Linked DNA regions of Caenorhabditis elegans. The protein of the gene in region 2 interacts with the protein of the main gene of each other region in a pairwise test. Each region holds a gene or a part of one and is shown on either strand. Other genes may lie near its edges.

Region 1 (5,975 bases), about 16 Mb from region 2:
TTGAATTTTTAGAGTGCACACTCGCTTTTCCCGGCAAAAATTCTGACTTTTCAGGAAATTTTCCCGAAAATTCACGAATTTCAACAAGAAACACCGAGAAAATCACATTTAAAACCTAAAAATCCGGAAAAATCGATTGAAAATGTAGTTTGTAGTCTGGCAGACCCATGCGCTCGATTTGGGTCTGCTAGACTACAAACTACACGCTCTAGAGTTAAATTTCGCAGTTTTCAACGGATTTTTCAGCAAAACTTGCAGTTTTTAAAGGAAAACCGTAGAGAAAAACCGATTTTACGATTATATTTGATAATTTAGAAGGAAAGCTCGATTTTTGAACGAAAAATTCGTATTTTTTGCAAATTTTCGCACAAAACTCCGAGAAAATCGTGTAAAAAACTAAACATGTGTAAACTTTCGGATTTTCAGATGGTATTTTGGCGAAAATTGTGATTTTATGCAAAATTCTCTGTGAAAATTGATTTTGTGAGTCAATTTTCGTGCATTTTTCCTTAAAAATTCCGAGAAAATGCAAATGTTTGCATTATTCCCGCGAAAAAATCATCAGGAAAACTGCTCAAAATTACAGCAAAACTGGCGATTTTTACCAAGTTTTATGGTCTGCCAGACTACATACTACACAAAATGTATTTAGCAGACCCAGAATCCATTTTTCTTGCATTTTTTATTGATCAGCGTTAAAATTTGCAATTTTCGTGATTTTCAACCCACTTTTCAGCAAAAAATTCAGCTTTTGAAGAAAAATCGTAGAGAAAAACCGATTTTACGATTATATTTGATAATTTAGAAGGAAAGCTCGATTTTGAAACGAAAAATCGAATTTTTTGCAAATTTTCACACGCAATTTCGAGAAAATCGCGTAAAAAACCAAAAATTTGTACGAAACCAAAAAAAAAAACGGAACGCGTCCTCCTTCGAAAAAAGAGCGCGTAAATACGAAGAAATGAGTCAGTTGACGGACACAATGATGAGATGAAGAGACGGCAGACAACGAGAGGTTCCATGTTTTCTCTCGTCTCTCTCAGCTCTCAATGCTCTCTAATCGTCGTCACTTTTTGTCCCTCGCCAACATCGAAAATCGATGGGATTTGTTGGTGGGACACTTGGCAGCATGCCAAGTGTTATTCGGAGAGCAGATGGCCAAAAAGAACGGCGAGAGCGGGGCAATTTGGCAAAAAAAAATCGATTTTTTCCTAAATGTGGGAGAAAATTAGCGAATTTTAATGCTGATTAATAAAAAATGCATGAAAAAATCCAAAAATTCGCGAAAAAAAAATGGATTTTGGGTCTGCTAAATACAATTTTTGTAGTTTGTAGTCTGGCAGACCATAAAACTTGGTAAAAATCGTCAATTTTGCTGTTATTTTGAGCAGATTTCTGATTTTTTCGCGGGAAAAAAATTCAAATCTTGCATTTTCGCGGAATTTTTCAGGAAAAATTAACGATTATTGCCTTAAAAAATCAATTTTCACACAGAATTACGCATAAAATCACAATTTTTCGCCAAAAAACCGTTTAAAAAAAATGCATATTTTTCTATGGGAAACCGAGTTTTTTCCGTCTAAATCTGCTTATATTCACCTAAAACGCAAAATTTCGTCGAAAAAAATATGGGTCTGCTAAATACATTTTGTAGTTTGTAGTCTAGCAGACCTACTCTCAGAAATTTGGTCTGCTAGACTACAAACTACAAAAAACGCTAGCATACCAATCGAAAAATTGAGAGATTTTCGTCAGATTTTGAGAGGAAAATGATTTAAAAACGAGGTTTAAAGCAATTTTTCAAATTTTTTTCAAAAAATTCCAGAAAAACCGGCTTTTCTGGAATTGGGGAGGAAAATTAGTGAATTTTAATGCTAATTGGTCAAAAATACAAGAAAAAATAAAAAAAATTCGCGAAAATTTTTTTTTTGGGTCTGCTAAATACATTTTGTGTAGTTTGTAGTCTGGCAGACCATAAAACTAGGTAAAAATCGTCAATTTCGCTGTGATTTTGGGCAGTTTTCCTGATTTTTTCGCTGGAAAAATTCAAATTTTGAATTTTCTCGCAATTTGAATATGAAAATTCACGAAAATTGACTCAAAAATCGATTTTTACAGAGAAATATGAGTAAAATCACAATTTTCGCCAAAAAACCGTCTAAGAAAACGAAAAATTCATATTTTTCTATGGGAAACCGAGTTTTTTCCGTCTAAATCTGCGTATTTTCACATGAAAACGCAACATTTAGTCGAAAAAACTATGGGTCTGCCAAATACGTTTTGTAGTTTGTAGTCTAGCAGACCCACTCGGGTCTGCTAGACTACAAACTACAAAAAACGCTAGCAGACCAATCGAAAATTTGAGAGATTTCGTTAGATTTTGACAGAAAAATTGATTTAAAAACGAGATTTAAAGTAATTTTTTAATTTTTTCAGCAAAAAATTCCAGAAAAACCGGTTTTTCTGGAATTGGGGAGGAAAATTAGTGAATTTTAATGCTAATTGATCAAAAATGCAAGAAAAAAATCAAAAAAATTCGCGAAAAATGTTTTTTTTTGGGTCTGCTAAATACATTTTGTGTAGTTTGTAGTCTGGCAGACCATAAAACTTGGTAAAAATCGCCAATTTTGAGCATTTTTTCCTGATTTTTTTGCGGGAAATATCTCAAAATGTGCATTTTCTCGACATTTTAATGTGAAAATTCACGAAAATTGACTTAAAAAATCAATTTTCACAGAGAATTATGCATAAAATCACAATTTTCGCCGAAAAAACTCTGAAAATACGAAAAATTCATATTTTTTGTCGGTTTTCTGTGAAAAACTGAGTTTTTTCCTTTAAATCTGCTTAATTTCACCTGAAAACGCAAAATTTAGTCGAAAAAGTGATGGGTCTGCTAAATACATTTTGTAATTTGTAGTCTGGCAGACCCAATCTCAGAAATTTAATCTGCTAGACTACAAACTACAAAAAACGCTAGCAGACCAATCGAAAATTTGAGAGATTTCGTTAGATTTTGACAGAAAAATTGATTTAAAAACGAGATTTAAAGCAATTTTTCAATTTTTTCAGCAAAAAATTCCAGAAAAACGGGTTTTTTAAGGCAAAATTCAGTTTTTTAGAACTTTTGTAACAATAAAAACTGCAATTTTACCGGAAAACCAGTAGAATTTAAATTTTAACTCATAAATTATACAGTCAAATTTTAAGTCAATTTTCTTGCAATTTTCGTCAAAACGGCGTAGTTTTACCCAAAAACTTGCTGAAAAGTCGAAAAATCTGGATTTTGGCGTAAATTCCACCATTTTCAGCCGAATTTTTCCGATTTTTATCGAATTCAAACATTATTTTGCCGGAAAATAAGACAAATCAAACAATTCTGTGAGAAATATCAATTTAGGATGGAAAAATTGCGGAATTAATGGAAAAATTGAATCCTAAGAGGTATTTTTTTTTTCGAATTTTACCTTTTTCAAGTTGAAAAAGCACGAACCTTCCATTGCGCTTGTTAATTCCTTCAGTTTTTCGTCGAAAATCAGCAAAAAAGCGCCGAAAATTGGGTGAAAAGTTCGAAAATTGGAAAAAAATTTATTTTTTTTTATTGCGCCGTACTACGGTAGACAGAACACGCCGTGCGGTGTTTGCGGAGTTGTGTACCGTAGTCCGGTTTTTAAATTGAAGTTAATTTAAAATGTTTTCAAAATTATTGATTTTTAATGAAATTTCCTGAATTTTAGAGTCAAAAATTGGTTAGAAATCGTGAAACTTGAGAGAAAATCGTCGAAACTCTCAATATTCCGGGTTGAAATTCAATTTTTCATCTATATTGAAACAAAAAATCATTTTCTCAAAAAAAGAAAATCGTGAATACTTGAGGTTTTGTATAATTTGCACCGGTTATCCATGCATTTCCATGCAAATTAGTTAAAAAATCTAATAAATTTCAATTTTTCACTTATAGTTTTTCTCACAATTTCCAGCAAATTTTCGGGAAAATCTCCACTTTTCAACAAGGTTTGCAATTTAATACAAAAATGTCTCAAAATTGTAATTTAACAAGAAAAAAAACAGATTTCAACAAAACAGTTTATTTTAATGAGAACCACACGAGTGAACAACAGTTTAATTTATTTCTTCTTTTCGATTTTGATAGAAATATGATCGTATAAGAGGCTGAAGTGAGAGCCATTGTCATAGTCAACGCGAAAAGGTCTTCTAGCAATGAAATTTGGATTGAAAACTCGCACAACTCCAACGCTGAAGATATTTCTAGAAGTGATGATTCCAGACTCAAAAACAGTCGATTTCAAGAGAATCTGGAAAAAATGACAATTTTTTTGAAGGAACATTAAAAAACTAACATCTCTGATTTTAACAGCATCAGCGACAGAAAGATACGCCGTATCAATGAAGAAGTGGGTAAGATGGAAGAGATTTTCAATTGGGAAATGCTTCTCTCCATATGAATCAATAAAAATCGACTTGGCTCTTTTCCATTGCTCCATTTCAAATAATTGATCGACGTAATCTGGATTCCCGCTGCAGTAAATGCAAATTTCTTCTAGAAATCCTGGTTGAAGAAGCGGAAAAATTGTTGCGGCAAAAGTTGGAAGATTAATGGAAAAGTCGATTCTTTTTACCTTGTAGAGGTTTTTTGAATCGGACATTTCTTTGAACCAATTCATAAATGTTTCCTTCTTTTGAATACGATCATATCCTTGGAATTCAAGGACTTCCAATTGAAGTTTCGAGTTCTTCATCACCACTGACAAGTCTGTCTCAGCCATTTTCAAGCCGTTCACTCCTTTAAAGCGCTCATTCCGATCATTGTAGTTTACTGTGCAATGCGAATGACTGAAATCATAGTGAATTACAGTAGATTTTGCGTCAAGCAGCCACATCTGGAATTGAGAGTGATGGATGTTAAGTACAACGCGCTTGATTCCAGGATCCTTATTATCGACGATTGCACGAAAGTTGCGGCAGACTTTACGGACAGAAAGCCTGAAATTTTCAATTTAATTAATCCTCCAAAAACTAGTTCTGATTATACCGTTCGATTGGTTCAACCTTTTCCACAATTTTATGAATGACGTCCAATGGCAAATTCGACATCGATGGAGCCTTGGAGCACGGCCTCTCTCAATTTCATTTATTTCAAAATTCCTCTTTTTCTCTCACACTCTCTCACGTGAGATTGAAAATTGAATAATATATGTGTTTTTAAATTAAATTCAAAATATTGACGAAGAAACAACTTTGGTATAAATACTGATTTGTTAGGACCGATACCAAATGGTAATTTTCGGACATATTTGATCTCGTAGACAACGGCTCACTATTTCAGTGATCTTTAAAGTAATAAAAAATTCTTCAAAGTTTGGTACAGAGAAACTGAAGTAGTTACATTTGTAGAAACTTACATAACTTATAAACCTACCGTATTCCTATCGTACCCAATTACCGTATTTCCTCTATTAGTCTTGAATGCAAGACTAATTTTCAATTGACCCGTAGGGGTGCAAGACTAATAGAGTCCGCATGACTGATTTTCGATTGGTCCGTAGGGGTGCAATACTAATAGGGGTGCAAGACTAATAGAAGCTGCAAGACTAATAGAGGAAATACGGTATATTTTTTGTCGTACACTGATGGAAAACTGATGAGACTTTCCCGGCAGGGTTCACAAGCTGAGTTATTCATTGGTGGCCTCGGTTTCAGTCGGTTGCCGACTGTAAAGACGGGATCCCGTACGGGAAAAACAAAAAGTGACATATGAAAAAGGTATCAGACGGTACTAATCCAGACTTTGTTATTTTTTGCTTCTTTGAGATGATTGTGCAAACGGATAATTTCGAATACCTTCGTGGTATCTCTATCAAAGTTTTTCAAAGCATTGAATCTTTACATAGCTTAAACTATGTATTTTGTGAGAATAGCCAAGTATTATGAACATAGAAAATGTTTCTTGTGTT
Region 2 (4,982 bases):
CACAAGTTCCTGGTGGAGCATTTTAGAGTAATGGAGCCCATCACAACTTCATTGAGCTGCTCGGAAGAAGATGTCGCCGAGTTTTTCGTTGATTTGACGATGAGCGGGTTGGAAGATGAGAAAAGTTCAATTCTGGTTTTTGATGGGGAAGTAGGTTTTTGTTTTTTGTTTTTCAGATTTAATCTAGCTTCCCGCAAATTCTAGAAAAAAAAGTGTTCAGGAAATCGTGGCAGTTTGCCTGAATGCCGTCAAAGAATGCTCTTTTGTTTCCGAATCGACCCCATTCAATCCACACTGGGATTTTAACGCAGAAATCACAAATGGCCAGTACAAACACGAAAATGCCAACAAGTTGGTGGCATTCGTGCAGGTTTTGGAGCAAGACTTGTCGTTTTTGACTGGAAATCCGAAAAAAGTCTTCAAAATCGATGTGCTGTGCGTGTCGAAGGCTTGTCAAGGGTAGGAAGCAATTTTCTTCTTTTTTTTTCTTGTTCTCCTAGGGAATTGTGCTCAATTTAGGAAGGGAATCGGAAGACAGCTCGTCGAGAAGAGTCTGGAAAATGCTGTGAAGGAAGATTGCGAGTACGTGGCAACCGTTGCAACTGCTGTGGCTTCTCAGAATATTTTCAGCAAGGATAGTAGTTTCTTATTCAATAAAATTTCCGCTTTTTACGAAAAAAATAGAGCGAAAAGTCAGAAAACCTATAAAAAATACAGTACCCGTGTTTAAAGGCACACACACCACATCGGAAGCGTGGCGAGACCTTTGACCACGTGGCAAGACCAATTGAGGCACCACGAAATCTAGAACCGGTGGGATATCGGATCTGGCCCGTTTCTTTGCGTTGGCACTTGAATCCGTGGTGCCTCGATGAATTTTCGATCTAAAAGCTTCAAAAACTAATAAAATTCCAGTGTGGTCTCACAACACTTCGCGAAATGCCATTTTCCTGTTTTCGAAACAATGGCGACGTGGTTTTCGAGAACCTCGTCGACGGTGGAGTCAGCGGGAAACTAATGGGGAAGAAGCTAGAAAAACATGCAAATGAGGAGGAAGAGGACGACCTTCGATAGCGATAGCAACTCAAATTAAAGAAACATATATTTATAAAGGACCAAAGCAGCTAGGATCTCAACTTCAGATACTCAAAACCAATAATTAAAGTACACGTAATGAAATTGACACTTAATAAGCAAGACCTAGGCTATGAATAAAATATTATACATGTATTTATGAAATCAATTGTGTCAGAAATAGAATATTATACAGAGCGTGAGAAATCAGAAATCAGAATTCAAAAATTGGAATCGGCTTGATTTTGCTCATTAGAGCATCGATTCGCTCGAAGCCCTGCTTGATTTCCTCCCGGCGAGCGAGCGCTTCCTCTTCCTCTTTTCGCATTTTCGCCAGAAATTCATCCTTCTCTCTCTTGATCTTGTTGAGACTCTCCAGCTTTTCTTCCTGGAAATATAATATTGTATTTTTATTTTTAAAAATCATATTTAAATAATTTGAAACTCTCACCAGCATCCCGCGCTCATCCTCCAGCTGCTGGTTCTCCTTTTGTGCAGTATTCACGTTTCCGGCATCCTGGGTTTTGTCGAGAAAACTTCCGTGAAGTCTCGCAACGATATCATTTGGCGATTCTTCTTTACGCAGAGTCATGTCCAGGGTCTCGAGGCGAAGAGGCAGAGCGGACGAGATGAAGCTGTCCTTGGCGATTTCAATAGCTGACTTGAGCTTAGTTTCGCGGGATTTGAAAACCGCTTCCATGTCGTCGATATTCCGCGCCAGCTGTGCATCGTATTGGCTCATCTGAAAATGAAAATTTTAGATTTAAATGTAAAGTTAAAAATCGATAATACTACCTCTTTGATGTCGGTGGCCAACTTTTTCATGTAACCCGACATCTCCTGCGGAATCTTTGCCATCAGAAGCTCCAGTTGCGTCGAGTCATCAGCCTTGCGATCCTCGTTCGTAGTGTCTTTGCTGGTGAAGAACAGACGCTTCCCAGGCGTTGGCATCGACTTTCTCGAGGATCTTCTGCGTGGAGTCGTCGATTTTTCGCAAGGAGTTACGCCACGTGTCGGCGTTGCTCGCTGGGGCGACGGAACGATGGTTCCATCAACTTCCATCGGCTCAACGTCGTCGTCATCTTCGTGTTCCGAAACACTGAAAGTTTCTGGGCAACCTTGTGTTTCGTCTGGAACCTTCAAAGTAGGGCCACTAGCGCACGCGTCTGCAGCCAGAAAGGTGCCGTCTTTATTTCTGTCGGTGACTTCCGAAACATCGTGCTCGAGGGCAAAAACTGGCGGCCCTGCACGTGGCACCTCTCGAGCCACTTTCTTCTTTGGAACTGCTGATGATGAGCCGACGGGTGATGCGAAGAGCGCGGCTCTGACCGAGAATGTGGTGTCGTTTGATTTTTGAGACATTCTGAAATGAATTAGTGATTAAAAATGAGAAAATAACGTTGAAAACAAAGAAATGGCTTATTTTAATATGAAAATCCAACTTTTTTGATCTAAAATTGATAGAAAACGGGTTTTTCTATTTGAAAATAAAACTCATTTTTGTTAAAAAGCTTGCAGTTTGCCGAAAAATGCCGTAAAACATTATTTTCAGATAGACAAACCCGTTTTCTGCATTTTTATTTCAATTTTAGACAATTTTCGCTTAAAAAAGTTGGATTTTCATGTTGAAATAAGCCAGTTTCGTGTATTTTCCGGAAAAAACTGCCGCAAATGAAATGGAAATAAGAGAAAATCGCAAATTTTGGGCCCAAAATCCACCGAATGAAGGGGTCACGTTCAAAATTCGCGGGGTTAATTTGCCGCGCCAACCCCGTCACTGACGCATTTCTCGTCGCTTGCGCGTTTGCGGTGCAAAATTTTTAATCTTTATTTTCCTTATTTCCAGGCGTTTTTGAAGAGTTTTTCATGGTTTTCAGGCGTATTTTATTGATTTTTTATTGTTCTTATTAGTTTTTAAAGCTTTTTTACCGTGAAATGTATCTTTTTTGCGATTATTGTGCGTAAAATGGCCTTAAAATCGAATTTTCCAATATTTTTTTGCAGTTTCCAGAAAATGGCTCGAGAACGGAAAGCCAGGAAATCAAATGTGGCGGCAGTTACATCTCCTGCAACTCCTGAGAAAATCGAGTCCCCTGTAGTAAATGGGCATTCGCATATTAACGGTTCGCTTCGAAATGGGAAAAAACTGAGTGAATCGGAGAAAGAGGCCAACAAACCGCTCGGAGATCGTGAAAAAGAGCCAGCCACGTAGGATTATTGGTGGATTTTCGATAATATTCAATTATTTCCGATTTTCAGGCCAACTTCTGAACTCAAAAAGGGAAAAACGAGTGGTAGCGGCGGTGGATCACAATGTGTTCTGCTTACTCAGGGAATAATGGCTAATGATAGTGCAAAAATCGACTCAGTCATTAGAAATTTGAATTCTGAAATTATTCACGCTACCCTCCGTGATCTCCAGCCGATGCAGGTCTTGCCATTGCTCAAAATCATCGAATCTCGCTTGAAAACGAGGAATGCTGCAGAGTAAATCGAATTTTTAGTACTAATTCCTCCTAATTTATTGATTTTCCAGCATTCGTCCAACCATCCGATGGGCTCAAATCGCCTTCTCAATTCACATGCCTTATCTCAGCTCACTTCCGAATTTGGAGAAGGAAATTGGCGGTTTAATCGGCTGGCTGCGCTCAAGAGTCGGTCATCATCGAGATTTGTTGGCTCTTCACGGAAAAATATCCACAATCGCTGATCTTATCAAGAGACGAACTAATAATGTGGTTATTGTGCAGCAGCCGTTGGTTGTGTTCAATAATGGTAATATTTTGAGCGGATTTTCGCGGAAAATTACGCGCAAGATATTTTCCAGCGGAAAAGCCTGTGTTTCCCACGTTTTTCAGTGAAAATTCACTTGGTTTATCTGAAAATAGCATTGTTTTTAGTGGAAAAAGTGGAAAAAAACGCAGAAAAATGCAACTTTCAGGCAATTTTTGGGCATTTTCTCCAATATTTCTGCTGAAAAGTGTGTTATTTTCATATAAACCGAGAGAATGCGGCAAAATAGAATTTTTTGTAGATAAGCTCGGAAAATGAATTTTTGCAGGTTTTTTATAAAAAAACATTAAAAATCAGATTTTTCCGCGGTTTTTAGTATATAATAAGGTGAATATTCCTGTTCTCAATTATTTTCGGAAAATTCTACAAAAAGCCTGTACTTCCCAAATTTTTCAATAAAATCAGTCTCAAAACATAGAAATTCACTTGTTTTTACTGAAAATAACATTATTTTTAGTGGAAAAATTGGAAAAAGAGCAGAAAAATTGCCTGAAAGTTGCCGATGACCGATTTTTCGGCAACTTTCGGACAGTTTTTAGGCATTTTCAGCTACAAAAGATGATATTTTCAGTTAAACCAAGAGAATTTATATATCTTTTGTAGAATTTTCCGAAAAAAATTTAATTTTCAAAATGGCCGAGGTCTTATGAAGAATTTAAACCTATTTTTCCCCAATTTCCAGATCTTGATTCGGATTCTGAAGATTTTGACACAATTGGCTCGGATGATGACGGTGAGAGCAGCGAAGACGATTGGTGGGAGGATAATGAGCTGAAAGAGGATGAAGAAGAGAATCAGGATGACGATGACGAGGACGATAATGATTCGGATGATAGTGAAATGGACGCAGATAGTGCCGAAAGTGGCGGATCTGGATCTGAGGTTCGATTTTTTCCACTGAATAAGACACCACGGATTCAAGATTTGGTGGAATTCCGGATTTGGCACTGTGCCAACGAATAAAACGCAACTTTTCTCAAAGAAATACGCTAAACAACTCGTGACGCGTAATACCGGAGCATCGTTGTCACGTTTTTTTTCGAAAAAACTGCGGCAGTTGGCACGATGCGAGATCCGGAATTCCACCTGATCTTGAATCCGTGATTCCTAAAGTC

What was found. Proteins that work in one complex are often made in the same cells at the same time.
Region 1: the proteins of knl-3 (region 2) and nova-1 interact in a two-hybrid assay, tested with the Caenorhabditis elegans proteins (one large-scale study listed by BioGRID).

The regions. Positions count from the first base shown.
Region 1 is NC_003283.11:18,078,331-18,084,305, forward strand, and holds the start of nova-1 (K Homology domain-containing protein), read right to left. Parts: upstream 3,577-5,975; 5' UTR 3,501-3,576; coding exon 3,494-3,500; intron 1,711-3,493; exon of another isoform or gene 1,626-1,710; intron 1-1,625. Other genes in the region: fbxa-106 (F-box domain-containing protein), read right to left, coding at 4,128-4,316, 4,362-5,004, 5,054-5,141.
Region 2 is NC_003283.11:1,866,668-1,871,649, reverse strand, and holds knl-3 (Kinetochore NuLl), read right to left. Parts: upstream 2,438-4,982; 5' UTR 2,437-2,437; coding exon 1,870-2,436; intron 1,817-1,869; coding exon 1,526-1,816; intron 1,463-1,525; coding exon 1,289-1,462; 3' UTR 1,092-1,288; downstream 1-1,091. Other genes in the region: T10B5.4 (aralkylamine N-acetyltransferase), read left to right, coding at 1-150, 221-459, 520-634, 916-1,074; T10B5.3 (Small-subunit processome Utp12 domain-containing protein), read left to right, coding at 3,089-3,282, 3,334-3,561, 3,611-3,849, 4,550-4,749.